Linked DNA regions of Ovis aries. The protein of the gene in region 3 binds, or shares a complex with, the protein of the main gene of each other region. Links are inferred from orthologs where the notes say so. Each region holds a gene or a part of one and is shown on either strand. Other genes may lie near its edges. The genes, in order: TAF6L, MBIP and TADA3.

What was found.
Region 1: TADA3 (region 3) and TAF6L share a complex: the UniProt entries of both Homo sapiens proteins name them as parts of the STAGA transcription coactivator-HAT complex. The link is inferred for Ovis aries from reciprocal best matches to the Homo sapiens genes TADA3 and TAF6L.
Region 2: TADA3 (region 3) and MBIP share a complex: the UniProt entries of both Homo sapiens proteins name them as parts of the ADA2A-containing complex. The link is inferred for Ovis aries from reciprocal best matches to the Homo sapiens genes TADA3 and MBIP.

Annotation. Positions count from the first base shown.
Region 1 is NC_056074.1:37,623,293-37,633,123, reverse strand, and holds part of TAF6L (TAF6-like RNA polymerase II p300/CBP-associated factor-associated factor 65 kDa subunit 6L), read right to left. Parts: 5' UTR 9,611-9,831; intron 9,589-9,610; exon of another isoform or gene 9,285-9,588; intron 9,097-9,284; 5' UTR 9,045-9,096; coding exon 9,037-9,044; intron 7,095-9,036; coding exon 6,935-7,094; intron 6,609-6,934; coding exon 6,522-6,608; intron 5,854-6,521; coding exon 5,703-5,853; intron 5,549-5,702; coding exon 5,498-5,548; intron 4,936-5,497; coding exon 4,841-4,935; intron 3,536-4,840; coding exon 3,461-3,535; intron 3,320-3,460; coding exon 3,099-3,319; intron 2,794-3,098; coding exon 2,661-2,793; intron 886-2,660; coding exon 757-885; intron 651-756; coding exon 1-650. UniProt on the Homo sapiens protein: Functions as a component of the PCAF complex. The PCAF complex is capable of efficiently acetylating histones in a nucleosomal context. The PCAF complex could be considered as the human version of the yeast SAGA complex.
Region 2 is NC_056071.1:44,237,343-44,247,273, forward strand, and holds the start of MBIP (MAP3K12-binding inhibitory protein 1), read right to left. Parts: upstream 5,420-9,931; 5' UTR 5,384-5,419; coding exon 5,255-5,383; exon of another isoform or gene 4,755-5,254; intron 1,614-4,754; coding exon 1,494-1,613; intron 1-1,493. UniProt on the Homo sapiens protein: Inhibits the MAP3K12 activity to induce the activation of the JNK/SAPK pathway. Component of the ATAC complex, a complex with histone acetyltransferase activity on histones H3 and H4.
Region 3 is NC_056072.1:16,892,051-16,901,981, reverse strand, and holds the start of TADA3 (transcriptional adapter 3), read right to left. Parts: upstream 6,206-9,931; 5' UTR 5,987-6,205; exon of another isoform or gene 5,849-5,986; intron 5,730-5,848; 5' UTR 5,672-5,729; intron 4,993-5,671; 5' UTR 4,967-4,992; coding exon 4,760-4,966; intron 3,415-4,759; coding exon 3,164-3,414; intron 3,038-3,163; coding exon 2,932-3,037; intron 1,552-2,931; coding exon 1,410-1,551; intron 1,319-1,409; coding exon 1,215-1,318; intron 1,179-1,214; exon of another isoform or gene 681-1,178; coding exon 606-680; exon of another isoform or gene 1-605. Other genes in the region: ARPC4 (actin-related protein 2/3 complex subunit 4), read left to right, coding at 6,578-6,580, 9,056-9,174. UniProt on the Homo sapiens protein: Functions as a component of the PCAF complex. The PCAF complex is capable of efficiently acetylating histones in a nucleosomal context. The PCAF complex could be considered as the human version of the yeast SAGA complex.

The DNA.
Region 1 (9,831 bases), on a different chromosome or scaffold from region 3:
GGGAAGGCAGTCTGGAAGAGGCGCCCGCGGCATCGTCTCCCTGCTTGCCGCCCAGCGATGATGAAACGGAAGTAAGGGGCACCGCGCAGGGCGAAACGGCTCTTCTGGAAGACGTCGCGGGTGCCGGTGCCTGGGCCCTGCTGCCGGGGTGCTCCCCGCGCCCGGTGCACGCGGGGCAGCGGCCTGCTCTCAGAGGCGGCGGGCGCAGAGGCTGACGGGGGGCCACCGCCCCGGGGGCTTTCGTCGCCCTGCGGGCTGACCATGGCGTTGGCTGTCAGCTGCGGCATCTTCCGCACTGAGTCCGGGGCGGTGGCAGGCTCCTTCTTGTCCCCGGGCGGCCGCGGGGCCGTGGGCGCGGGTTGACCCGTGCCAAAGCGAGTGGCCAAGCTGTCACCGAAGAAGGCGTAGAGCTCCCGGTAGATGTCCGCCAGGGTCACCGAAGGGGAAGGATCCTCTGGCCCCACGCCTCCAAGAGCCATTGGGAGACCAGACCCAAAGCCTGGCTCTGCACTGCCCCCGGAGGGAGACTCCTGCAGGAGAAGGCTGTCCCAGGGCAGGTCGTCAGAGCGCCGGCACCCCCTGCTGCCTGGCCCACCCTTGTTAGGCTCTGCTGCCTGGGCCTTCATCTTCAGCAGTCGCTCTACGGCCACCTGTAAGAGCAGAGGGACTAGCATACAAGGAACCTGGGCCTAGTGTTCTAAAGTGAGCCAGCTGAGCTGATGCAGGAAGGAGAGGATGGCAAGGTCTGGCACTCACCAGAATGGCTCCATAGACTTTGTGCCCATCTGCTTTAACCTGGGCATTCGATACTGAGTAATCATCAAGCACGGCCTGCAGATTTGTCCAGTAAGTGGACAGGTGTGGGTACAGGACTCTCTCTACTGCCTGGATGGGAGAGAAGAATGCAGTGAGTGCCTCTTGCTCATTGCTTGCCAAGTACCATTTCCTCTGAAAGATCTACTTTTATCTCTGGTTCTTGACAGGGCTGAATCCTAAATTCCCTGCTTGGCATATTCAGCCAGCATTTATTTGGAACCTCCTGAATGCCCAAGCCTTAATTAAGCAATGGGAATAAAGATCAGGTACAAAGACAGACAAACAATATAAAGTGACCCCACGATCACTGACATATGTACTGAGGGCTGAAGGGTATAAGTAATGCCCCTTGCTAACGAGAAGTTTAGCTGCCAACTGCTACATTCCAAGTACCGTCCTGGCTTACATGTAAACTGGAACTAAATTCAGACCACTTGCACAAAAACAAACAACAGCTCAGAGATCTGGACTCTGATTATGTAATTTTAAATCCTGTGATTAATTTGGGGGAAAGCAATTAAGACTTCAAGTTCCTAGAAAAATATAATATTGACTCAAGAAATATGAAAACTGAAATAATTTTGTAACTATTAGATCAGAATACAACCACAAAACAGCATGCCAGAATTTACAAAGCCAGCCTACAGACATTTAAGGAACAGAGTGTCTCAATAAAACATAATTAAAAATGTATCAAAAATACTCCCTTCTCCACCTTATTCTATAAAACCAGTATAACCCTGATACTAAAACCATATGAGAAGAGTACATGATTGATTTCATTCATAAATACAGATAAATCATTTAAATCTAACTGTATATAAAAAATATATTCCAATAAAAGTTTTGCATTTTTTTTAAGACTATACCATTACTAAAGTGAGTTTATCCTAGAAATGTAAAGATAGTTTACTATTAGAAAATCTGTATGGGGAATTCCTGGTGGTCCAGTGGTTAGGACTCAGCACTTTCACTGGTAGGGCAGGGGTTCAATCCCCTGGTTGGGAATTAAGATCCCACAAGCTGTGTGACACAGCCAAAAACAAAGAAAATCTATATATACAATTAACAACATTAACAGATAAAACAGGAAACCTTAGAATCAATTTAAAAGATACAGAAAATGCATTTGATAAAATTAACATAAATAATTAAGAACTCCCCTAACCTGAGAAAGGTATTTACAAACACATAAAGTAAACGTCAGCCTAAACAGGACAGGTTATTGTTAGTACTTTTTTTTAATTGGAAATGAGACAAGGATGCCCAATATCAACATATTTAAAATGATATTAGTGGTCCTAGCAATAAAATAAAAAATTACTAGGTTTGAGAATTCTCTGGCAGTCCAGTGGTTAGGACCCTACACTTTCACAGTCAAGGGCTCAGGTTCCAACCCTGATTGGGGAACTTAGATCCCACAAGCCAGGTGGGATGGCCAAAAGAGGAAAAGGTATTAAAAAAAATAAGGCATTAGGTTTAAAAAAGACAAAGCTATCATTATTTGCACATGGTATGATTTACCTTAAAAGCCCAAAATAACCTACAGTTAAAAATGATAGTTTAATGAAGTAGCTGAATCAATACACAAATCAGTTGTGTTTCTATACACCAATAAGAAACACCATGCAAAGACATTACAACAGTATGACAGCATAGCAAGAATCTAGGAGTAAACAAGTTATTTTGAGGTTCTCTTCAGGGAAAATTACAAAAGGATCCTGAAAGACAGTGCAAAACCTAAAAAATGGAGAAAGAGGACACGTTCATGGACAAGAAAGATTATTTTTCTAACTATAAACGGGAAGCTCTTATGGCTCTGTGAGAAAAGCCAGGGTCCTCACCTTCCAGCCAAGAGCATGCAGCCCCACCACAGCCCCGTAGTGAGAGCAGAGAGGCCTCACAGGATCCGCCAAGACTTTCTGCAGGGAGAGCAGGATCTGCTGATAAAGGCCATTTACAAGGTCCCCATAAGTCCTGTGGGAGCAACATTCAGTCAGGGGAACAAGGCAGAGCACAGAGGAAGCAGCATGTGTACGGCACACAGGGTAAGTGAGCGAGGCAGCTGGGCCCAGGCCTGAGGGCAGGTAGATCAAACCCCTGGCGTCTCTGCCACCCGTTTACAAAACCCCAAGCACAACAACTTGGAAGATCAGAGGGAAGACACTCTCAACCTCTCAACCTGTGGCCTTAAAGCCAGAAGTCTCACCCCACCTCCCACCCCAAGCCACTCAGCTCTGCCACAGTCCCACCCTTGATCAGCGCTAGGCCCAGGTGGCTACCAGAAGATGTGGCTCAGTAGGAGGGCAGCGCCATCCCGAAGCGTCCAGTGGTCATTCAGCGGGTTGATGGAGGCAGCCAGTGGCTCCAGGACACAGTAGAGGACACTGCCCACCAGGGAGCGGACATAGGGCACCAGGCAGAGGTGTGGGTTCCGAACCAGGCTCCGTGCCACTTGCAAGAGCCGGTGCAGCTGCTCCAGGTCATGGCTTACAGATTTCACCTGTTGGGAGAAGAAGGGTGCTTAGGGGGACATGAAGGTGCAGGAGAGCCTGCTGGTCTGGTGGCACCTGCCAGGAGCCCTACAGCCTGCGGCATCATCGCCCCTCCACAGATGCACCCCTGCTGCAGCCTGGTCACTTACCCCGCTGACCACGTAAACAAAGTATGGCAGGAGTGCTGCAATCTTGGAGTTGGTCTGCAGGTCGTGGAGAGCAATCTGAAACAGAAGGGGCCACGCTGCCCTGGTCCACCCACCCCAAGTATGAACTGATACCTCTTTAAAGAAAAACTTGGCACCTATGTATTAACATTTTAAATGTTCATACTTTGACTCAGCAATGCCACTTCTACAAATTTAAGCCACTATAAACAAAACCCACTCACCCACATATCCACACATAACACTGTCTATAATAATAAAAAGCTGAATATAACCTAAGCCTGGCGTCCATACAGTCCATGGACGACGCCACACAGTCCATGGACGACGCCACGCAGTCCATGGGGTCGCAAAGAGTCAGACACGACTGAGTGACTGAACCAAACTGTATATAACCTAAATGTCCAACATATTTTCAACTGAATAAAGCAGTTATTCTAAAACCAGATGTTTAGTTTAATACCACTTCAACTGACAGCAGACTATGATAGTTTATATATAGAAAACAAATGTGAGTGGTGGGTCTACAGAATTTCTACTTTGCATGTTTTACAGTACTTCTATGATAAACACATGCTGGTATTACTTTTATAGGCAGAAAAAAAGAGTCAATGAGTAAGACTGTCTTAGCCTGAACCTCCACCACCTGTGCCCTCCCAGCGCCTCTGGCACTGTGAAAGCAGAGAACAGCTTGAGAGGAAGGAGCCCAGCTCCCAGGCACAGGCCCAGCCACATGCACTGTGTCTGGGGATGAGTAGCAAATTTCCTAAGGCAGGAGAGTGCAGTAACAACAGTCCTAACTCTGCAAGGGAAATAACAGCAGCACCCAGGCGCGGAAGATGTAAACCCCTCAAACAGAGGGCCACGTGGTCAAGACCACCAAACCAGCCCTCCTCTGCCTCTGGCGGAAGAGGCCTGGCACAGGCAGTGTCCAGAGGGGCCCTGTGGAGCCCTAGAGGGCTGGTATGATGTCTGGCTGGCACCCTCACCAGGCTCCCTCTACTTCCTCTCGAGGCCAGACAGATGAAAGGCACAAGGTGGATGCCCCGCATGGCTCCAGGTCAACAGACACCCCAAAGAAAGGGCTCTGGATTAAGGTGTGGGGGGAATGACCACCTGTATCGTCCCCACCCTCCACAGGACCCTGCAGAGCTGCCCATTCCCTAAGGAACAGGGTTCCTACTGGGGCAGGGAGGGGAGCAGTGCTGGAGAAGGGCCAGCCGCAGAGCACCACGCCCCCCACCAAGAGCAGCTTCCACCCAGATCAGCCAGCCTGCAGAGAACAGGAAGCAGGCCTCTGAAGGAATTCCATGGGGGATTGACGGTTGGCCTTGAAGCTTCAATTCAGGCCCGCTTGCTCACTTTCATCAGCTGTGGATCATCCCCCAGCACAGCCCGAGTCACTTGCTGGTAGTACTTGAGGAGGTCATCGGTCAGTGAAGACACAGCACTAGGCACTGTGAGAGGGTGGGCAGAAGGCAGTCAGCGTGAGGCCAGCCCTCTCCCAGCCTCCCTGCCTGCTCCCCGCCCCCCACAACCCCCGTCGCCGTAGGAGCCTGTTCAGACAGGAGGCCTCCCGGAACACAGAGCCACCAACCTCTCTTGAGCAGCCTGTTCACCCTGGCCTTGCAAGCTCTCCACAGCCCAGCTCTGCATGCTGCCTCCCACCTGAGTTCTGCCCAGCAGACTCCTGCTTAGTCCCCAAGGTCCAAGTTCCTAAGCCTCAGGCTCTGTAAGCTCCATTCAGCAGACCCTGGAAGTGTGACACCTCAGGGACCCCCGTAAGCTGCTCAGACTTCTACACTAACATTCAACACGGCGTCATGATTGGTTACAGGCCTGGGATCCCATCTCCAACTTTGAGGCCTCTGGGCAGGGATCAGTGCCCACTCAGGGCTGGCACCAGGCAGGCACCAGAAAATACTTGTCAGATGAGGCCTCAGAGGGGTAGCAGCACCACCCTCAGTCCTAAGGGAGGAAAGTCCAAGCAGAGGGCCCATTCCCCGTACTACCCATTACCTGATCCTTGAGGGGCCAGGTTCCCTTTGCCGTCCAGGTAGGAGACATGAACTAGAACCAGAGCAGAGAGGTGGGTCAGCCCGGGATTTTGCCCCTGTAACACCACCCACCATTCCGCATTTTGCCCCACCTACCCACCAGCCCATCACCATTCCTCCAACAGCCCAGCTCCTGTCCCCGCCCTGTAGAGGACCCCAGCGGTCACCTCTCAGGGCTGTCTCAGCACAGCCTTTGGGGATGTTGGTAGCCAGGGCCAGCTCCACCAGGTTCACCTCTCGGTCCTCGGGGAAGTAGAGCTCACCCTCCCTGGCGGGGCGCAGGGGCAGCGCCTCCTGAGATCCATAACCGCACACGGCCTGAGTGAAGAGAGGACTGGGGAGCAGGCTGAATCTGGGGAGGTAAGTGGGGTGCTACCAGCCAGGGCCCAGAGCCTATGTTTGCGGGGAGTCCAGAGGCCCTGAGCAGAGGGGGATGCCTGGGACTCCAGGCCCTTCACTGGGAACTTGGCTGCAGCACCAGTGCTCACTAAGTCAAGGAGTAGAACGTGGTCCCTCCTCACGGAGCTGCAGGGACCCTGAACCCCACCCTCAGGCTGCTGAGCCTCCCCACAGAGACCAGCTCTGAACACGCTCCTCTCTTCTAAACGTGATCTTCTTCCCCGGACCCCCTGCCAGGGAACGACCATGCAGGATGTTCTGACGCCCACGCCCATGCTCAGGCTGCTCCCTCACCCAGAATGGCCTTTTCTTCTTGCAACTGAGTCTAATCCCGGCCTCCTTTGCAGGTTCAGCTCAAGTGCCAGCTCTTCCAAGAAGCCTTCCCTAGCTTCCGGGCCTCCGTGGCCACCTCTGCTTCTCTGAACGCCTGGCCCTGGGGGACTGGGCGTGACACCTGTGCTGCGGTGGCTGTGACCTTCCCTTGTGTGTGCGTTGGGCCCTCATGTCTCACTGTGTGGCTGGCCCTGAGTCGGGCGCGTAGGCAGGCTCGTGCCAGCTGAGCCCTCTGCAGCCTGTGCCCCACTCACCTCCACACTGCTCCATCGGAGCGCCCTGTTGAAATCCTCGACAGTCAGCTTCCGCCGTTTGGTGTGTTTCATGAATTGAGAGCTATTCTGCGAGGGGAGGAACAGAGTCAGGGACAGGGAGTGGGGCGTGGCAAACAACTCCCAACGTCACATGCCCTCTCTGTGACTCAGTTTTTCACACGGGGGATGTGACGATGAACCTGCCTGGCCTGCCCAGCGGGGCTGTGGTGAGGAGCACAGGCTCAGCAGGCGCCTGGTTCACTGGAAGCCCAGCTGCCTAGGAGGAGGCCCTGGAGAGGACGGGACTGCCTCCGCTGTATTCAGAGCACGAAGGAGGGGCCTGAGAGGTACTAGCTGAATAAACCCCTGGGGGAGAGGGCAGTCCCAGGGAGGGACAAGGAGGGGGAGTGTACCTGGGTGGCCTCTCTGAGTCGGTAGCACACGTCCTCTGCGAGCAGGGCCGCCACCTCATCGCTCAGCTCCAGGCCTGTGCTCTCTGCCATGAGCCGGACGGACTCCCGAGGGATCTCCACGAACCTCCGCTCTTCTCGCTCCGACATGGCCCCGATGGAGCTGGGGGTGGGAAGGGAGGTGGGAAAGGGCAGCCCTATCTCCCTCTGAGCCCGGGAGCCTGACTGAAGGCCCTCCAAACCAATCTTGTTGCTCTTGTTCCAGATTCAAGAGCTGTTCAAGAGCTGTTCCTGCTCTTGAACCAGCAGCTTCATCTGAGTGTCCGGGCTCAGAGCAAGAAACAGACTTGAGCTGGGTCAGAGGGCAGACGGCAGTGACAGCAAACAGCAGTGATATCTTACAACGTGCCTGGCCTTGGGATGCACAGAACTGAGTCCCAGCCCTGCTCCACCACTTTTAATGTGAACCAGGCTGAGACTTTCCTCAGTCTGAGGTCTGGTAAAATAGTGGCAATAACCCCTGCCCTCCCTAACACACAGGGTTGCTATGAGGATGAGATGAGATGATGTAGGAGAAACTCAAGGGCCAGAACACTACACAAATGGAAGATATTACAATCGTTAATTACAAACAAAAACTTGTCTTCCTCTGGATCTGTGCAACAGCCACCAGTACTAAACACTGATGAAAAGACTACTTTTACCCTGACAGTTCCTTGCTCAGAAGTCTTCAATAGTTTTCCAGGACTCATAAAAGGAAAATCCCAACTCCCTGGCTCAACATACTGGGATTGGTCCTGAATCCGCAGAGCTCATCAAGCTGACCCATCCTCCCAGGAAGGCCACCTCGTGGCTTCCAGCCTGCCTTGTACCTCACCGCTGGTGCTCAGGCTGGCCCGCCTTCCTGCTGTGCCAAGCCCCCAGGCCCTCCTCTTTCCTAAGGCAGATCCAGTCTGTCCTTTGAGGTCTTCCTGCCCCTATTCCATCTGGGACTGTCAGGCTTTCAGCAGTTGGGCTTTTTGCCCATGTCTGGTCTTCCCCAATGTGGCTGAGAGGCTTCGAGCAGGAACCTGCTCTTCTGTTCACAGGATATGGCAGAATAAGAACCCACGAAAAACAGCAGCTGGTGACTGACTCCAAAAACACACGCCACTTAGAAGGTTGGCCCACACGGGCCACAGTGAGACAATACCACAGCAGTGAGGTCCTCGCTTCAGTGACCCGCCCAGGTTCTGCCCCAGCACTCCTCTCTGACAAGGCCCAGTGGGTCACCAGTGACCTCCAGGTCCCTAAATCCAGCGGGTACCCTGCCTGGCCTCCCTGCAGCATTTCTCCCAATGGCTCCTCATTGCCTTTAGAATAAAAAACAAACCTGCGCCATGGCTCCAAGGCCCCGCATGCGGGCCTACATCCCCAAACATCTCTTTCCACTCTTGCTTATGTTCTGCATTCCTGTAGCCTCTGTTTCCTCAAAAACACCTTATTTCAGGATGTCCACACACTGTTTCCTGGACTTAGAACACTCTCCTCTACCCCAGCCCCTTTGTCCAGTGAACTCTGAGGCCTTCCTTCAGATCTCAGTCTCAAATGTCACTTGCTGGGGGCTTCCCCGGCAAGTCAGTGGTAAAAAATCCACCTGCCAATGCAGGAGACATGGGCTCGATCCCTGGTCCGGGCAGACTCTACATGCTGCAGAGCAACTCAGCCTGTGCACCGCAGCTACAGAGCCCAAGATCTAGGGCTCACAAGCCGCAGCCACCTAAGCCCGTGCGCCCTACAGCTGTGCCCTGGTGCAAGAGAAGCCATGGTAATGAGATGCCCGTGCATCACAACTGGAGAGTAGCCCCTGCTTGCCACAACCAAAGAAAAACCCATGCAGCAAGGAAGACCCAGCACACTCAAACAAATAAATGAATTATTTTAAAGTTTAAAAAAAAGTCACTTTCCCAGAGACGTCTTTTCAGACCCTCACCATGTGCCATGACTTTTTTTTCCAAAGCCGTTACCAGTTTGTAATTATATGCCTGTGTAACTTTTTGATTAACATCTACCTCCCCAGTAGAGTGTAAGCTCCATGCTGGCAAGGATCATGCCTTTTTGCTCACCTTTGCATCCCCAGCGTCAGGCACGGTGTCTGCACATAACACACCCTCAGTAAACACCTGCTGAAAAGATGAGCACACAATCGCTATTTTTCTCAGTATATACTATGCCTGAAGCTTTGAGCTAAGTGTTTTATATGGCTTGCACCTCATTTTGTCTGGATTAACAATGAGAGAGGTATTAAGTAAACATTATGTCTGTTTCACAATCAGAGCTGAGTGGTTAAATGTTAAATGATTTTCCCAAGATCATCTGGCCAGCACTACCTAGGTAAGGGAGCAAGAACTCAACTCTCATTGTAATCATGAGGAGCGGAGGACTGTTTGGGGAACAAGGCCTGGATTCCCAGTCCAGGGACTCGGCGTTGGAGACCCGCCAATGGCTGTTAACCTTCTTTCTCCACCTGTAAAGTAGGAGCAGCAAGTCCTGCCCGCGGAAGGCGCCAAGGAAGTTTCCCTATTACGTGCCCACATTACACCCCACAAAGTCCGACTCTGACCAAGGTCTCCAGTTACTCAACCTCCTCTCCACATCCTCAGCCACTAGCCACACCGGTAAGGAGGCGTGGGAACTGACCTCTGCCGGCCTCCGTGAAGCGCATCCTCCCACCCGGCCGCGCTTCATCCCAGCTCGAGAGGTGGGGGGGGCAGGGAGGAGGAGGTCAGAGGTTACCGAACTGGGGTCACGTGGTCGGCGAAGGGGGCGGGCCCCCAACGGAGCGGGCGCCCAGGCCGGTTAGCGCGCAACCTGCAGCGGGACGGCTCTGTGAGGGCTTGCTCACCTGATGGCTCAGGGAC
Region 2 (9,931 bases), on a different chromosome or scaffold from region 3:
AATTTTCTTTGAGGGAATCATTCTGTCACTCATCTTTTATTTTGTGCCAAATCAAAGCCTCAGCCTCTGGCACCAATGCCACTTAATTAACATGTCATTCAAATGCCTCCTCAGAACACTAAGGCTTAGTATTTTTCCTCCTTAACACAAGAGCCAGTGCTCTCACTCAGCAAAGCCCTGCATTAGCACTGTATCACTGGAGATTCTCCACTTGAAACTGCAGTTGGCCAAAGTGAATGAGAGAGCATAGACATGAAATATATAGGTGTTATGCTGAGTGAACACTCAGGCTTTTCCTGACATGACAAGATATCTTCTTGGGTCATGAATTTAAATTTTTAAAAAGAAAATGAACAAGGAAAAAAGAAAAACATTACCAAGAGCCATAGCTGAAAGAGGTAGATGCCTACAATACTAGTGGGGAATACAACTCTATCATGTAAATTATACTACAATCCCCTCCAACACACTCACACAAAATTAGGCCTCAACTGAGTCCTATAGCTCATTGCTTCCACCCTTCAAAACTATGGTTAACTATTACTTTTAACATGAAACAGTTAAAATTTCCCCAAAAGTCACTGAATAAAGGGCTGAAAATTGTCTACTCTACTAATCAAAACATACCAACACTTGTCAAAGTTCCAATTATTTTTTCATACCTACAATTTTGCTTCCTTTGTCTGCTATACCAAAAATTCTTCTGAATCCTTATAATATCTTAATGGCACTAAACTGACCAATCCAAACCTTTATGACACTTCATATTTTATACTTTGATTAGAGATAAACTGTAAACATCTATCAATAATAACTGCAAATATGTTCAGCTGGAAACTAGTAAGGTCATAATACTGTTTGGTTATTGAACTGAAATATTTTTTAAAATATAGCAATACTATTATAGATTAACAATTCAGTGTTGACTTTTAATATAAAGAATGAATTATTTTAAACTCTTAAGATCATAAAATAGTGACTGGCTACTTACTAATATGAGACATTAATGTCACAGAAATTACTTTCTTTTTAAAAACTATGCTGAAACTGTTTAATTGCAATAGACACTCCAGGATGTGTCATGCTGGGATAATGCCACTTCTTGAACCACTGAAAGCACTCCATGAGCCTCCAAACTCACCCAAGGCATGGAATCATTATCATAGCATGACACACACCTGCCGTGTCTTATTGCTTAATTATAACCCACCATAGATGCAACTGTATTGAATTTTCAGTGCAAGTCTGGAATCGAATAGAACTGCATTCATTCAGTTGTCACACCCACAGCAGCCCATTCGGCTATATTCCTGTAACTGTCCTGATCACTATGTAAATTAAAGATTTAGATCCAATCTGGCTGAAGTAACCTTTTATTAATAACAGTATTAATAAGGTGTTAAGACAGAACCTACAAATACTCCAGTGTACAATTTAGCTACAATTAATTTCTAGTCTCAGTATCGAGTTAACATTTTTAACAAGAAATTTACCTGTAAATATAAAACGTGTTGCTCAAGTGCACTAAAGAGAAAAGCGGGCTGGAATGCCGAGAGGCTCTGGAGCTTGTTCCAATCGATTGTAATTTTCACCACATCATCTCTGAGGTTAAGCTTTAAAGGGGCAAACCAGCAATATCACAAAAATTACATGATTAAGCTGTACATATGGGATTGTCACAAAAATAAGATTTCTATAGAATAACATGCCATTTAGATCAAAGTTCTCAAGTTTTTAATGATACATAAAAGTGCTCTACCTAGTTACCACTCCAAAAAGGCAAGAAAGGTCCAGTTCTCAGAAAAAAGCAGATGACATCTCTAATTCTTTTCTTGGGTCTGTGTAATGGGACCATCTCACAGGTAAAACTATCCAGGAAAGATGAAAAGATGAGGCTTTTTTTTTTTTTTTTAATAATTCAGTATCTGAAAACTTTTGGATAGGGGCCAACAAATGCTTGCCCTATTCAAAATCCTACTGCTTCTAGCTAAGAACATTAAATACAGGGGGAGGTACATTTATGAAAGTTCTGATTTCATAATTTCTGCATTTGTTTTTGTTAAATATGCACATAAATATGTAACAAATATATCATTCCTCTGATGTCTTCCGAATCACATTTTCATTGTTTTCAATTTTAACCAATTTTTTAAATTTAAAAATCAACTCATATATTCATATTCATATATATTATAAAGTCTGCAGCTACATGGCAGCATATGTTTACTTCAAATAAAAATTAAACTATTATTTAGCTGTGGAAATCTGAAATTTAAAAACAAATGTTTTTCCACAATAGTGAAATAAACAGCCAAAGACTGGATGGAAAGGTCAGACTCACTGCTAAACAGTATTTTCTAGTACAATGTAAGAGTTCATGAAAATTTCTCCTAAATTGGCTATGTATGGCCTATTACGATAAAGTTATACATAGAAAACTACCACAAACCTGAATATAAAATTAATACCAAGATGAGTCAACATTTCAGAGGGAAAGCCTCCATTTTTAGTATTTCAAGTGAATAAAAGTGAATCACTGTAAACATTTTTAGGGACACGTGTGTTATGGCATATATCCTGCATCACAGGATCAAGTTAACTCTTATTTTTTCAGAAATCATTTATTTAAAATTAGTCATGTTTTCTACAAAATAAGGACAAGTGTTCTATTAGTTAAGATCTTATGAACTGTGATTATAATAAAACAAAAAAAATGAATCACTGTACCAAAGAGATCCAAAGTTCCCCAAAAGGCACTATATGTATGAATGCTGTATGACAGAAATTTACCACCCTTTGACCAGAAATATTTAAAGTCCATATTAGACAAGTGTAAAGAAGTTTTGTGTAGGATGCACTGGCAAAAATTAGTTTGTTATTTTAACTAAATTAGTTTGTTATTTTATATTAAGAAAATCATATTAATCTTAATTTCTATTTTTTAGTGCTTATAAATGTTTCAACAGCTTATGCATGGAAGTAACCCATCACTATACTTTTACAGTTCTAAAGGAATCTATAATTGATTATAACAAACTTACAAATACAGTTTGGGGATAACGCAGGCAAATCCTCAACCAAAGCAAAGCATCAAATTTTCTAGAAAATAACTTATAGAAATTAAATTGAATGTCTGGATTATATTCTCATTTCAATTTAGCAGAATTATATAAACTTTCAAGTGCAAGATACTTGGTCTTTGAAGAAACCACATAACAATGCCACAAATTAACTTTAAAACTATCCCCAATACATCCAACTATTATTCAACAAATTCCCTATTAGTAATATATGAATTCTGTGCATTTTTACCTATAGAACTTGTAAACCATTCAGTCAAAAAGGTATTAGTCTGTCATTAATATGAACTATTTAAAATACACATTTCAGTAAAAACTTTATTACACTAATATAAAAATCCAAGTTAACAATAAATATTTCTTCAGCTTGGTAAAATGCAGCAACCAGAGGCAAAATCAGTATTCAATAAATTCAAAATCTGGGCTAGGAAAATTTTAACATCTGATTCTATGTTTCCTATTGAGGAGAGCTAATAACACAATGATACTATATAGAAGGAACTAGGCATTTTACAACATAGATTTTTTTAAATTTCTTAATCTTGTTTCAAAGGGAAATAGTTATTTCCACCAGGAACAATTTTATAAGTATAGTATTCTGGCTTTCAGTATCTTTAACAGTACATCTCAAAATATAAAGAGTATCACCAAATTGGCTAGCATTTAATTGATGAGATAATCTTACTTTTTGACAATCTTATTTAGTCTTATTTATGGCCCCTTTACTCTGTCATGAAAACTAACCAAATATTTACTCTCTAGATATTTTTGACAGGTGACATAAGTAAATTTTAACCACAGCACTATTTTTACCTACAGAATGTTTAAAATTTTTAAATGAGTTTTAAAAATTCAGTATGCAAACTATTTCAAAAGATAGGTTTAAATTAACGTTTTTAAAAAGTATCTCATCAGTGGTGGGGGGGTACTTTTGTAAACTTTAGGTGCATATAAACTTTTTAAATCTTGATATTAGGATTAAAAAAAGAAGTTCCAATGTCCACGCCATAGAAAGTTCTCCAACTTTTAAACCATTTACAGATCTTGAGTCTTCAGACTGAAATAATTACCCTAAGTCTTAAAAAATACATAAATAAAAGTTCTAAGTCCTTGACAAACTAATGAGTTTAAAAGTTACAACTTTTAGCTGACTCTATTAATAATCATCCCATTACTCCAAAATGAATGTTTAACTAAGACCAATGCTCTCTGTAAGTCAGGACAAACATTGAAATTTTTTTAAATACTGAAATAACCTTTTAAAAGACTGATTCACCATCTACCCAAGGCTTTTAAAAATAATTTTCACAAACACTCTATTTTCATAAAGGAAGTTACCGTTATGTTCAACGCAAACGCCTAAGTCCAAGATTTTTTTTAAAACATTTCTTTTTGAAAGCAGATAAACATATTTTCAAGCTGTTTCTCATTTAAAATTTGCTTTGCATTTACATCAGTAAACAGTGCTTTCAGTGCAAGCAGTACCTTTATTTAAGCTCCATTTTATTATGACATTTCGACAAAAGCTATTTACCAGCCAGTTAAACTAATAAATAGTTGAATTACGAGTTAAACAAATTGTGATGCAAGCTGTATTGACCAAAGGTAACTCAGCCAACTTTATGCTACAAACAGTTTAGGTTAATTCTTTTTCTCTTCCGCCTTGTTTTAAAGGGGAAGAGATGCAAGCTACGGCCAGAAGGAAAAAAGTAAACAAAAGCAAGTGACTCATAAGAGCAAATCACCCTAAAGAGGCGGAGAGAGCGCTATTCCAGAAATCTCAGGCCCTACGAACCTATCAATTTCTACAATGAATGAACTGGAGGAAAAACGATCCTGAGGCTCCAGGCGCCTCCCAAACCATCAGAGAAGCTCTTCCGTATCCAATCTCTCCAAGCCAGTTTCTTACCGAGCCGCGTTTTCACTTACACTAGCCTCATTCACTCATGGTGAGAAGAGCTGCAAACCTAGCCTGTCACCGGTCAGGATATAACCCGCGCGGCCATCCTCATTCAGCCCACAGGGTACCCGGCCCACGCTCCTCCCCCGGCCTCTGCTGCTCCAGCCGGCTCCCACACCCTGCAGGCCTCCGGTGGCCCCTGCCTCCGCGCAAGGGAAAATGGGAGGAGGGGCAGGCCTGTTCCCAGACCCCTACTCCACAGAGCATCACTCACTTGTCCAGCCAGGTTATGCAAGGAGCGGAAGACTTCGCAGACTATCTCTCGGGAGAGGCTGGGGCTGCAGCTCCGCTCCAGGCTCCTGTCACCGATCGTAGGGCGACTAAGCTCAGCGGCTGCAGCCATGACACTTTCTGAGGCTGCCCCAGCCAGCACCAAAGTGCGCTCACAACCCACCCCTCCCTCCATCGCCTCTGTCGCTCCGCGATGATGTCAAAACACTGCGTCTCTTTTAGACCAAGGCTTTGAGGACCCTCTGTGTGACTGACAAGCATCTGCCCCAATCAGGTTCCGCTGAGGACCGCGAGCGGATGATTGCCGACCTACGTGAGGCTGGCCACAGTATTTCCACTGGAGATTGGAATTGGTAGCCAAAGAGGGTTAGCTTCGTGAAGTCTACCTTGACCCAGATGTTAATGATGAGTATTGCTAGAGAAAACTTTTATAGTTAAATGTTAGTGATTTAGTCCCATATTAAAAGTTAAAATTTTAACATGGCCCTGTGGAGTGGCCTGGAGAAAGATCGCTCGTCAGGGATGCAGCGCTGCCAACGATTGTTTGTAAATATTGAGAACTTTTCCACATAGAATTGTCATAACTGGATAGAATATTTTCACCAATATTCAAATTAACATCACTAATTTTTCATTAGAGGAAGAAGATATAAAACAAAAATGTTTATGCCTCATTTATTATCAAGGGAATGTTAGATCTGCAAAGTAATTCTGTCAAGTTTTAAAACTGATGAATCAGTTGTTTTTCTCTGGGTAATAGGATAGAGACACTCATCCTAAAACTATTTCAATAAAGGGAAACACTGTCAAGATGATCCCAACAGGAATTTAACCCGAGTAAGCAATCGCATGCAACACAATCTCTGAAATCAGAATATACAAATCCAAATTGAAAATTGACAAAATGTTACTTATCAGATAACTTTGTTAAAAGATGCTTAGTTTGTAGTATTACAAAGTCTAACATTAAAAGTCTGTCCTGTGCAATTGAAGAAAAAAGTTTAGAAAGTTTTTAGTGTTAAAATCTGTTACGCTTGAACAATAAACATTGTCAGTATAGAGATAAGGGAGGAAGGATTTAATGTTCTAATAATCTAATGCCTTTAGAAGAAGCAGAGATGGAAACTTGCACAAAGTGTATTCTTCAGTTTTAGAGTAGTCTGAATGAAAGGAAAGGAATAAGGCACCAAGGAACTGGGATTAAGAGCAATAGGGGTTTTTAAAAAGCCTTTGACCTGTCCCTGCTGCTGCTGCTGCTAAATCGCTTCAGTCGTGTCCGAATCTGTGTGACCCCATGGACGGCAGCCCACCAGGCTCCCCCGTCCCTGGGATTCTACAGGCAAGAGCACTGAAGTGCTGTTGCCATTTCCTTCTCCAATGCATGAAAGTGAAAAGTGAAAGTGAAGTTGCTCAGTCGTGTCCGACTCTTCCCGACCCCATGGATTGCATCCCACCAGGTTCCTCCGTCCATGGGATTTTTCAGGCAAGAGTACTGCAGTGGGGTGCCATTGCCTTCTCCCTAAGTAAGTGTTAATCGCTCAGTCATGCCCGACTCTTTGCGACCCCATGAACTGCAGCCCACCAGGCTCCCCTGTACATGAGATTTTCCAGGCCAAGAATACTGGAGTGGGTTGCCATTTCCTTCTCCAAGGGATCTTCCCAACCCAGGGATTGAACCCCGGTCTCTTGCACTGCAGGCAGATTCTTTACCAACTGAGCTACAAGGGAAACCCTGCCTTCTCCCTAGGGAGGCTCTTAATTAGGCTTTCATTTTCAAAGAGCATCAGGCTTGATAGGGTCTTCAGTAGTCTTGTCTGGTCCCTGTTCACAGCAAGATATACAGTTTATAATCCAGCCTATGTCTAGAGATGTCAGATAGAAAGATCTCACAATATCTAATCCCAAATTTAAGCAACCTTCTCATTCAAGCCACTCATCCTCATATTTAACCTAAATTCAGGATTCTTTGCGATGTTAGCATATTTTCTCTGCCTTTGGTTCTCTTGTTAGAGAATCATTCTAATGAGGTAACTAGTTTCTGTTTGGTAACATATTAGCAACCAATTCCAGATCATTTGTTTTCATCTAGATGTGAGGTCTTTCTTTTATTCCCCCAATATTCAGGACACTGGTATGAAACACATTTGGGAACTTGATTTGTATAAGAATACCATCTTTAATAAGATACTGCTCATCTTTTTCTTTTGGAGAAGGAAATGGCAACCCACTCCAGTATTCTTGCCTAGAGAATCCTGGGGACAGAGGAGCCTGGGGGCTGCTGTCCATAGGGTCGCACAGACTCGGACACGACTGAAGCGACTTAGCATGCATGCATGCACTGGAGAAGGAAATGGCAACCCACTCCAGTATTCTTGCCTGGAGAATCCCAGGGACAGAGGAGCCTGAGGGGCTGCCGTCTATGGGGTCGCCCAGAGTTGGACACGACTGAAGCGACTTAGCAGCAGCAGCAGCATCCTTTTCTTTGCCATCACTGATTTTGAAATTTAGAGTTTTACTTTTTCCCTTGAACCTCTAATATAGAATTGATTGATGGCCTTTGGATCTGTATATAAATTCTCTATTTCAATATGTAGACTACCACTTATAGTATTGATTACTTAGCTAATAACCTGAAAATTAACTCTCGTGCATTATTTCTTCTTCCAAGGAACTTTTCTTACTCCCTCCTGAAGCCTGTTATCAGGAGGCTTCTTGAAGCCTACTATCCTGAAGCTATTCCTGAAGCTCAGTATATATATGCTTGTTGAGTTGAATTTATTTGCCTAAGTTGAACAGATTTGTAAAATGGAAAAACAAAAGCTCCTACTCTTGAAGGGAAATTGTACAACATAGTAAGAATGCTATAAACCATTCATTTCAAATAATGAAGCATGTCTGTTTATTCTCTCCTGGAACAGCAAATTCAAAGTGCTCAAATTTTCCTTAATGAATAAGCACAGCTAGCCTCCAAAACCTTCTCATGAAAGACACACATAAAATTAATTGTACCAGCTGTATGCCAGGCACTCTGACCAGGTTTGAAGGTACAAAGATGAATCAGGCAAGGAGTATCTTTCAAAAAGTTCTAGTTCTCATGGGTGAGGCATATATGTAAAAAAACAACTATGATACAATATGACAACAATCTTATTGGAGGTATGTATAAAGCAATACAACCAATTAGAGGTGTTTGGATTCATTATCAGGAAAAGCTCCAAGCACTTGATATAAAACATGGATTTTGAGGCTCAAATGATGAGTACAAATTCTCAATTTAGGTAAAACAGTAGCAGCAACTTTAACATGCCATGATATGTTTAGGGAGGATACACTGGATAGAAAAGTATGGTGAAGCCAGCATTTCTCAAAGTTTGCTCTGCTGAATACCAGTCTTATAAGATGCTTCTTTTCAACAAAAGTTTCCATGATCAAAGAAGTTGGAGTAAAGTTGACTGTGTTGCCATAGCATGCAACAGATCACAACATTCCACTTTCTATTAGCAAGAAGCTCAGCACTACAATCAATCCAAAACCCCAGCTTTGAGGATTGGTTTACTAGGACTTCCCATACTGATCTGTGATTCATTCAAGGTTAAGAAAACATACTGCTACTTCAACAGAGAAAATTTTAATAGAAATTGTTACGTATGATAAGTTAATTAACTGAAAGGATAACAAGAAAACAATAATCTATCACACTGTTAGGAAATTTGGGAAATAGCTAACCCCTCTAGAGCTATGGGAACAAAGAGAAAAGTTTGAAATTATTAAAATTTAGGAGCTTAAAGGTACATCCCTGTGGAGTCCCTCAGAGAAGGGGGTGCTGCTCAGCTTGAATTGGTGACAAGGATGGCATGATGAGGCCAATTTTGCAAGTTTTAAAAACTGAAAATAGAGCATCCAACCACCGTAGAACAATATCATGGAGTCTAATATACATGTAATTGGAACCCCTAAAGAAGAATAGAGAGAGACTGGGGCAAAAGAAACATTTCAAAAGATGACGACCAAAAAATTTCCAAAACTAGTGAAAGCCAAACCACTATCGAACAGTGAAAGCATCACATCCAGGAAATCCTGAGAACTCCACTATTATATACTGCTGCTTAACAAATATCCCCAAATTTAGTGACTTAACACAGATTTCTTAGCACCAAATTTCTGTATGAGAAATTCAGGAGTGACTTTGAATGGTGGGTCTGTCACCCACTTTGGAGAAAGACAGCAAGAGAGAAGTCAAAATGACTTTAGGACAGAGTCAAGTCACAGGCTTCCCTGGTGGTTCTGTGGTAAATAATTTGCCTGCCAAGCAGGAGACGTGGGTTCAATCCCTGGGTCGGGAGGATCACCTAGAGGAGGAAATGGCAACCTACTCCAGTATTCTTGCCTGGGAAATCCCATGGACAGAGGAGACTGGCAGCCTACAGTCCATGGGGTCACGAAAGAGTCAGACACAATGAAGCAACTAAACAACTCCCAAGTCACACACTGTCATTTCCATCTGATTCTACTTGTTAGTAGCAAGTTACTACGTGTGGCCCATACCCCAGAAGAAGGAAATTAGGCTTCATATCTCCATTTCAAAGTTGAGAGAGAAATAAAGAATTTTTTTTAAGGTAGACAAAATGAAGATAATTCACTATGGCAGACCTGCACTATA
Region 3 (9,931 bases):
TACCATAGCAGAGGTTGCTGGCTGTCCGAAAGCCATTCTCGCCTTTCCTCCACAGGAGCTGGGCTAATGGCTGCCCAGATGAACCCCACTTCCCAGCCTCCCCTGTAGTCGGGGTGGTCATGTGACAAATACTCTCCAATGGAAAGTGATTAGAAGAGATAAGAGCCATAGCCAGCGGGATCTTCACACACTCCTCCTTGCTCTTTTTCTGTGGGCTGGAGTGCCAGTCACATTTGGAGTGATCCTGTGCAGAGCGCATGTTTACAACAGCAAAGTGGGCTTCCCTGGTGGCTCAGTGGAATGCAGGAGACACAGGTTTGATTCCTGAACCAGGAAGATCCCACATGCCGCAGAGCAACTAAGCCTGGGCACCACAACTACTGAGCCTATGCTCTAGAGCCCGGGAGCTGCAACTACTGAGCCTGTGCGCCCCAGAGCCCCTGCTCCACAACAAAAGAAGCCACTGCAATTACAAGCCCAAGCACCCCAACTAGAGAGTAGCCCCTGATCGCCACAACTAGAGAAAAACCTAAGCAGTAACGAAGACCCAGCACAGCCAAAAATACATATATACATTTTTTTAAACAATTAAAAAGCCAGCAAACCTGGGGTCCCTGTCTGATGGTGTGGAACAGAGATCTCCCCCAGCCTCCACTGATCTGGAACATGTGCCCAGAATGCTACATGGGAGAGAAAGAGGCTATTGTGTTTGAGCCAGAGGGAAAACTGAGGCTCATAGGTGAAGAAACATGGCTTGGGATAGCCAGTGGGCATAAAGAAAGGGCACCTGAACCTGGTGTTTGAAGCCTGCTTCCGCTTGTTAGCTGTGTGATGTCAAGCAAACAGTTCCCTTTTTTGAGCCTCAACCTTGTTTGGTGTAATGTGGGGTTAACCACTATCTGCCTTTAACAAGAGGATGTGTAGAAAGCCCTTTGCACAGGGCCTTTCACTAATGCTCCACAAAAGTAACTGTGGAATAGTGGCTACCCTGGAGGTGGGGGAGGTTAAACACTGGGAGGGGCATGAGAGGGCCTTCAAGGATACTGATGATGTTTTATTTTGTGATCTTGGGACTAGTTGTACAAGGCTGCTCATTTGTGAAAATCGATCAAGCTGTACATTTATGACCTATGTACCTTTCTAAATATATACTTCAATAAACAAACATTGAAACAGAATGATAGTGGTTTCTGTTTTGCATTGGGGGTACTCACCTCCACCAAGGCCTGCAGCAGACGCTGTGTCAGGGCACCAAAGGGACACCCGTCTTCTGGCTGCTCATGCTGGGCCTCAGACTTCTTCAGCAGGGCATCCACATCTGAATTGGGCAGACACATGGTAGACTCGTGGGCTGAAGTTCTGGGAACTCAAGTCCTAGCCTGGGGTGGGCAGGGAGGTGAGGGACTTACCTTTAGTGTCCAGTTCGGTCAGGGGCCCCAAGAGGCCTTTCTTCTTGTCAGCCACAGCTGCTGCCCGGGCCCCGTCCTTCTGCTCCTCCAGCAGGTCCTCCTGTGCCCAGCGCTGGGAGTAGTGCTTCCCTAGGGGCGGGATCTGTGGGAGACATCCCACCCAGCCCCAAAGAGATAAATACAGCCAGCAATGCCTGGGGTGTGGCAGGGTCTCTTTGTGCACTTGGAAGTGCCAACAGGCTCTTCGCTCACCCTCCTTCCTTCATTTATGTCTCCCAAGTATCTAGTCCAGGGTTGAGGCCTGAGGCTCAGGTGAGAAGAGATACAGGAGAGAAAAATCTCTACACTCACAGTTTAGTAGAGAAGCCAGGTACATAAACAACTAAAACACACAGAAGGCAATACAGGAAAATTTCCATGATGTAACGTGCAGAATGGTGTGTGTACACAGACAATATCAGTTGAGAGCTATTATCTCTCGAAAGAACTACAGGCCTTCAGGTCAGAAATGAGAGAAATAGCTTATGCACTGCTTGAACTTGTGACTGCCCATATAGATTACCTTTTCAAATAAGTTTTTTAAAAACTCAGACAAGTGGAGTGACAGAGTAGGTTAAGGTGTTGTGGCAGTGCAACAGACAGACCAACCTTCTGCTGGAAAACCTGCAAAACCATTTTGGTGCAGGTAACGTGCAGTAAGGGACTCGAAGGGTGTTAGTTTGCCAAGGGGAGATTGGCATGTACAGAGGCCCAGAGACCAGAAAGGACCTTGTGTGAGCTTGGAGTGAGGGTAAGGTGCTTGGTGGGGCTGGCAAATAATAGCAGTAAAGAGGTGGTGTGGCCAAGGACACTGTGCTACCAAGGACTGAAGCTTGGACCTGAGTCTGTGGGCAATGGGAGCCACACAAGGCTGTTATAAGCACCTCTGATCATGATAGCGAACCTATGGGAGAATTCCCCTCCAACATTTTTCTGTATTTTGTACATTTTCTTTAACGGAACCTCTTTTATTTTCATCATAAAAACTAAAAATAAAAAAACTTCTATACATTACAAAAAAAAGAGAGAGAGGAACTTCCATGGCGGTTCAGTGGTGAAGACTGCTCACTTCTACTGCAAGGGGTGCAGGATTGATCCCTGGTCAGGGAACTAAGATCCCACATGCTACCTGGTGCATCCAATTAAAAAAGCAGAGAAGAGAATCCCTCTAGAGGCAAGCAAGTGTTAAGAGGCTGTAAAGGGAAAAGCTGATGAATTTTTGAGCCAAAGCAAAGGGGATGACAGAGACAAAGGGAGGACTGCACTGAAGAAGATGCCTTAGGATGTGGCAGGGTAGAAGGGAGGAAGCTGAAAGCTAGAACCTGGGCGTCTAAGTGAGTTAATGGAACTGTCAGGAGGCTGGGGAGAGAGAAAAAGGAAGATGATATATAGCTCTGTTAATTGTGAGGCATCTCTGAGCCCTCTTGTTCTCCATCATGTCCAAGATGTTTCCATCTTGTCTCATCATGCCTGGGGTCTTCACCTTGTAATGTTCAGCCTCATCTTCTGGGGGTTTCAGTAGCTCCTCTAGTGTGCGCACTTCCTCACTGGTGATATCAGCACAGTATGGCTCCACCGAAGCCCAGAATCTGCAGGGAGAAGCAGAGCCTGAGGGGGTGCCCCCTGCCCCCTGCCCCACCAGCCTCAGCCCCAGGCCTCTCCACAGCCTCCAGTGCCCAAATCCCAAGGCCCATCTATGTTCCCGGGCCCAGAACCTGTTGGGGGCGTCATTCTTGGGGATACGTGGCACATCAATTGGGTCGTCAGTGAATTCATATTCCTGGATCTTGGGCTGAAGGTTTTTGGATTTGGGTCGCCCAGGGCCAGGGCCAGGCCCATGGCCCGCCTTCCCTTCCAGTTTCTGCTTCTTGGGCTTCCCATGTTTGGGGGGAGCTCCAAGCTCATGGTCTCGACCCAGCTTCAGGAATCGTCGGTCACCTTTCTTATCCTGCCAGTCAGTGAGGATCTGAAATTCAAAGACTGTCACTGAGGATGAGAAGGGAAGACACAGGACAACTCCATCTCCCCATGAAAAATTAGGATCTGGAACTCAAGAAGGCTCTAAGTCTCTCCCCTTCCTCTTTTTATCTACCAAACTTCTACTCATACTGCAAAAATCAGCTCCTTTTCTGTGCCCATCTCACAAGACTTTTTCATATACTTGTCATCATTCCATTCACTTGTCTGTATTGATTCACCTCTGCAGCGCCCAACCTGGTCACACAGTGTTTAGCAGGTCAAACAGGTAGATGACAACGCAGTGCATGATAGCCCGAGGAAAATATGCTGGCGATAACTTTCTATTGAAGGCACGCATGCCTCCCAGCAAACCTTCACTTCAAATGTCACCATGACTAGGAAGCCTTTTCTGTATCAGCTATCTAGCTTCTTAGATGCTGTGTGCTACAGCCCCACTCGAAAAGCTTCCATGGGTTCCCAGGGACCACAAGTTAATTTTATTCATCTTATGAGGTTCAGTTAAAATGGCATCTTCTTTCTATAGGAGTCTCTGGTACCTTGCACCCCTAGGCCCAATCATGTCATCTGGTCATAACTAGAATAAACGGAGTACCTAGTCTCTTCAACAGGATTATAAGCTATTGGGGACCAGGAAGTTCATCTCAGCCATCTCTGGTCCCCAAGTTCTGGCAGAGCACCTGGCACACAGGGCTCAGAGGATGTTTATGCCATAAATAGAAATAATGAGAGTCAGACCAATAAATAACATTTGATATGCTTTCTTAAGTGTCAGACGTTGGGCTGAGCCTTTGCAAAAAATCTCTTAATCCTCACAAAAGCTGAGGGTAGGTCCTATTATCTAGCCCACTTTTCAGATGGAGGACTGATCTGCAGAAGCAGGCAGTTAAGTTTTGCAACGTCACACAACTCAGAAACTGCAGGATTCAAATCCAGGCCTCCCATTCCAGTTCCCCCAGTACTCCTAACCAGAACAGCAATTCACCTGATACGTGTCTGACCTCCCTTTCCTTTAGTTAGCACACTCCCCAAAGGCTGGAATTGTCCTAATTAACTCTACAGACTCAGAACATTGTGAGGAGGGGGGGGGGGGTGTCCCTAGATGCTTAGTGAATAAGAAATCTCACATTTTAGAAGGATCATGCACATTCTTGCATATTTTATGTGTTACACAAGCAATGTTTGGATCTCTCTCTTCAAACCCTGAGATCCTGTAACCTGGGCCTCAGCAGCTGAGGCTAACTCAGTGACACATCCCATAACTTGTCATAGTCCATCCCTGTAGCGGACTGTAGTGACATCCATGTAGTGATGTCCCCTCTGTAGGGTATAACCTGGGTTTCAGCCTCAAGCACCCGCAGGCGTCGGCTGGCAGAGGAAAGCAGGGTCTCAAGCTCCAGCTGCAGAGTGTCCAGCTCCTCGATACCGATGCCGTCATCCTCAGAGCGGGCCAACACCGCTGTGTAGCGAGGACAGACCTTCAGGTGGTCCACTGACTTGAAGTCGTGGAACTGCAAGGGGCAGTCCTTCAGCTCACTCATGGCTCAGGATAGGGGACCCTGTGGAGCTGGAGAGGAAAGGACCATTGATGGGGGTAAAAGTGGCACTAGAAAAGTCCAAGGGCTCCTTCCATCCACCGACAGCTTCGGGGGAGAGTGATGGCTTAGCTACTATTCTCACAGCACCTACTGTGTGCCAAGTGAGGGGCAGACATTTTACTGGCTACTCACTGAATTCCTCACTCAACCCCAAGAGCAGGGACCATGCTCATCCTCATCTTACAGAGGAGGAAACAGACTTTGTAAGCATGCAGCAGGTCCAAGCTTACCAACATGAATCCAGGTAGTTTTGAATTTGTTCAACTAACTGCCATGATATACTATACTACTATGCTTGTCTTTCTGATGCTCTTCCCGTCACTTCCACTCTTCCTGGGTTCTGCTGAGCCCAGAGTTCCAAGCATCCGGTACTTAGGCTAATGTTCTTCGTGCCTCCCAGCCTCTTCTTGTCTCACCCCTCCCCACCTCTGCCCCTTCTCTTTGCCCCACATAGTAAAGAGATACCTGGATCTCTGGACAGCCAGATATACCTGGATTCAAGCCCAGGCTTGACCAATGTCTATGTAGCCCTGAACATGTTAATTGATTCTGAGTCGGTTTTTCCATGCGTAAAATGGGGACAAAAGAAGCCTGAATCTGTTTTCCCTTAAGTCTGAATCTGTAAAATGGGGTAATAATGGTACCTACCTCCCTGGGATGTTCTGAGGATTTAGAGTTGATGCCAGTCAAGAGCTCAGTTCAGTGCCTGGCACAGGAAAAGTGGGGCTGGTTAATGGCTGGCCCCACCCATGGATCGCCCCAATGTCCCGCCTTCAGGGTCCCAGTTCTCTAAGGACACCCTATCGCGGCCCCCGCCCCCTCTACCTTCTCCTTGCTGCCTCCAGCGGCCCCGGGGCCGCGGGAGGGGCGGAGAGTTCCGGTCGGTGAGAGCAACCGCCCCGGAACTGGCTATGTGAGGGCCCCCTGCAGTTGACAAGGGGGCGGGAAGACGCGAGTACCAACCCCAGTCTTTTGGTGGGGGAGGGTTGCGGGCAGCGAGCTAGCCCGCTTGCAGGTGGGGTGCAGAAGGTATGCCACGGGCGTACCCTAGGGAACACCCCGGCGCTGGAGGGAGGGGCTCGGCAGCCAGGCTTTCGGCCCGGCAGTTAGTCTCGCCGAGCCCCAAAGGCTGCAGGTAGGAGGGGCCTGAAGATAGGATGGGGGCGCAGAACCGGAAGGATCGAAAGGCTCCTCCGCCTTGCCTTGCCCTAATATGGTGCCAACCTGAGGTCGGGCTGCACCATTGCATGACTATGAGGGAAGGCGGCGGAAAAAAGACGAGAAAGCCAAAGTCACAAGCAAGAGCTCCATGGGGAACGGGAGAATCTTGAGTAGTGATTTTAAGCTACAGAAGCCTAAAGCTACTAAGACAGTCCTAACGGGAAAACTTACGAGGGACCAAATGTTCTTAGCCTCCCCCTCCCCCGCTCGGAACACAGATGGTACAGTCCGGACGTCCGGGCGGAGACTGCGGCTGCGCTTCTGGAGAAAGGGCAGGCGTCGCGGGGCGGGCCACTTCCGCACTTCCGCTTTCCGGCCCAGCCAGCGCCCGCGATGGTGAGAGCCGGGCCTCGGGCCAGGGACCCCCGTCTTCTGCCTCTAGGCTCTGGGTCTGGGGGAGATGCGACTTTGGAGCGGAGAGGCCCTGGGCCGAGGGATGCTGGGGGTGCGGGGGTACCCTGAGGCTGGAAGAAAGAGGGCGGGGCAGGGGCTGAGGTGAGGAAGGGGCGAGCGGGGGACGCCTTCGTAAGAAGCAGGCTTTGAGGCTTCCTATTCTGTCCTTTGAAGCTGGTGGGGGATACTGAGGCAAGAAAGAAGCCGGAAGTCGCTCCTCCTCGGTTTGTGGTAGCGCCTCGAAGGCACGTAGTACACCTTATAGCCCGTAGTAGGGCCGCTGAGGCATGTAGTAGGAATACCTCCCTACCCAGAGTAGACGTTCACTAAATAAACTCTTTTCTTTCTCGCTTGCTTGATCCCACAGTTCTCTGAGGGAAGCCTCCATACTTCCTTTTCCCACTCCTCATGTTGCCACCAGCTCTTACTTTTACCTCACTGAAGGATCTCTCTTTTGCTGCCTCCACGCAGACCCCTTCCTGGTCAGAATTCAACCGTATCAGCCTTAATATGGAATGTTAAGCTCTGATGCCGCTGACCTTTGCCTTTCAGGAAGTCGTCCCTTTTGATCATTGTGGGTGTTTCTTAACGTCAATTGAGAGTTTGGGTCACTGCCTTCCCCTTCTTTATCTTCTTCCTGTCGATACCTATTTAATGCACAGGTCTTCATGACCATATAATTTATGATGACTCCTAAATCTGCCTTCCTAGCTCTCTTTCAAGGTTTACCTGGATATCTTGAAGACACCTTGAAATTAGACGTCTGGATTAAAACTCACCTCTCCCTAAATTTGCTTGTTCTCTTGTATTCCTTATTCTTGCTCTGTGTTTTCTTACCTCAGCTAGAAACCTGGGATATTCTTTTGTTGTTAAACTGAGGGGATGCCTCTTGATTTTTTTAAACATCATACTTGTTGAAGTATTACACAAGAAGGTGCTTACTCCATTTGTGAAAGGGCAGACGTCATAGGGTTGACCACCCAAAATGTACCTTTTTCAGATTTGCTATGAACTTTGACAGATACAATCTTGCTTGTCCCTCATTGCCCCAGGCCAGGCTCTTATTACCCTACTTAAATAACCGTCTCTGCTGGCTCTGTCACTTCCCTCTCCTCCAATCCATTCTCCACAAAGTCTCCATGCAGTTGTAGTTGTGTAACTTCCTCCTCAGAAAGCCCCAGAAGTTCCTTACCACTTTTAACAGAAGAGCTAAACTCAGTAGCCTAGCATTTGAGATTCCTCATGAATCTCTGGACCCCATCTGCAACCTCATCCATTGAATCTAAAAAAATGCTTCCTGGCAACATTGTACTCATTACTACTGTAATGCCCCTATTTGTTACTCTAATCTTGTTATTTTTTCATTCATTCACTTATTGTACAGAAACTGAGTAAGATGGTGTATAGGAAAGGTCCTGACTGAGCAAGTTGCAGGGTATGTAAATTTGAGTAGAATAGATACGGTCTGTTAACCATGGAGCTTTCAGTTTAGTAAAGGAGAAAATTACTTTTCTTGGAGTTATTTGAAGGGTGTATCATTGTAAATTATAAGTGCTATGAAAAGGGAAGTCAAGAATGACCTCTGAGGAAAGAAGAGGCCTTCTCTGAATAAGCCAAGATCTAAAGGATGACTTAGGCAAAGAAGGGGGAGAAAACCCTGCAAGATAGATGGTTTGGCATGTGTGAAGGCCTGGGGTGAAAAAGAACTTTTAGCTAATACAAGGAATTGAAGAAAGTCCTTTGTTGCTAGATGCCATTTCCTCTACCAGGAATATCATTTTTGTTTTTATCATTGTAAAATCCTAATCCTATTTCCATCTTCAAATCAAAACCAGTTTCTTCTGCAAATATGATTTGTAAATCTTAACTATTTCACATTTTATGCATTGTATCATAGTTACTGTCTGTCTCCCTGACCTGGTTGAACTATTTAAGGGTAGAAATGGTCTTGGTCATTGAATTCCCAACCCCTTGTGTGCCCTGGCACACTATAGATATATACATTTGTTGACTCAAAGCGCAGATTGAAGACAGTTATTCACCTGTGTGCCTCTAGACCAGAGTTTCTCAACTTCAGCACTATTTGGGGCTGAATAATTCTGTTGTACATTGTAAGCTATGTAGCAGTATCCCTGACTTCTGTCTATTCAATGCCAGTAACTCCTACCCAACCTCAGTTGTGAAAATGAAGAATGTCTTGCCATTGCCATATGTCCCCTGGTAGGCAAAACAGTCCCCTTTTGAGAACCACTGTTCTAGTCTTAAAATGAAAGACATCTTGAAGGCCTAGTCTGTTCTGTTCACTGCAGTGTCTGAGAGCCAAGGACCTCAGTACTGCCTGGCTCCTGTGTAGCTGGACTATGGGATCAGTGGATTTTGTGAGACAGATTTTGATTGTCCCTTGGGGTTTTCCTCCAGACTGCCACTCTCCGCCCCTACCTGAGTGCCGTGCGGGCCACACTGCAGGCTGCCCTCTGCTTGGAGAATTTCTCCTCCCAGGTCGTGGAACGACACAACAAGCCGGAAGTAGAAGTCAGGTATGGGAGGAAAGGGGGTAGGGGGTGATGGATGTAGCACCCAGAGAGGACTGTTATCGGAGAGGGCCGTGAACTTCCATCCTGGAGTTGTCAGAACGACTACAATTCACATTTTTTGTCTTGCTGCCAGGTAAATGATGGTTCCCAATTTGAAGTTCAGAAAATTGGGTCTCAGTGGGTTGACAGGACAAAACTCAGGGGAGAAGCTACTCTGGAGCCAAGATTTGCTTGACACAAGTTGTGACTTTTCAACATAGGGCCATTTGGGAAATATCTCCCAAGGAGGTAGTGAACCCTCTAGCAATTTAAGGAGAAGACTTGAGAACTGAATTATCTGAGATGCCATCTCTGCTCTTCTCAAATTTGAAGATCAAGGATCCCTCCCCTCAAAAAACAAATAAACAACTGGACTCCCATCCCCTACTACAAATATTCTATACTTTGGATTATTTTATCTGATTTTTGTTTTGTAAAAAAGTTTTTCTTTTTCCCCTTTGATGTTTAATCTGGTACATATACAACTGAGATAAGGATTGTTACCACAGTAAATTGATACGATTTGAATGTAAGAAAGCTGACATCATGTTAAAATGTGCCCTGTTATGCTACTTAATGTATATGGTTTCCACTAGGCATTTTAAAGGATAATAGCTCACAGACACCAACAATACAATTAACTACCGTCTGAGGGATCCAGAGGCATCAAAATGGGAACTGAGTTGAGAGGGGTCATAATTTTGATTATTAAAGGAGGCCA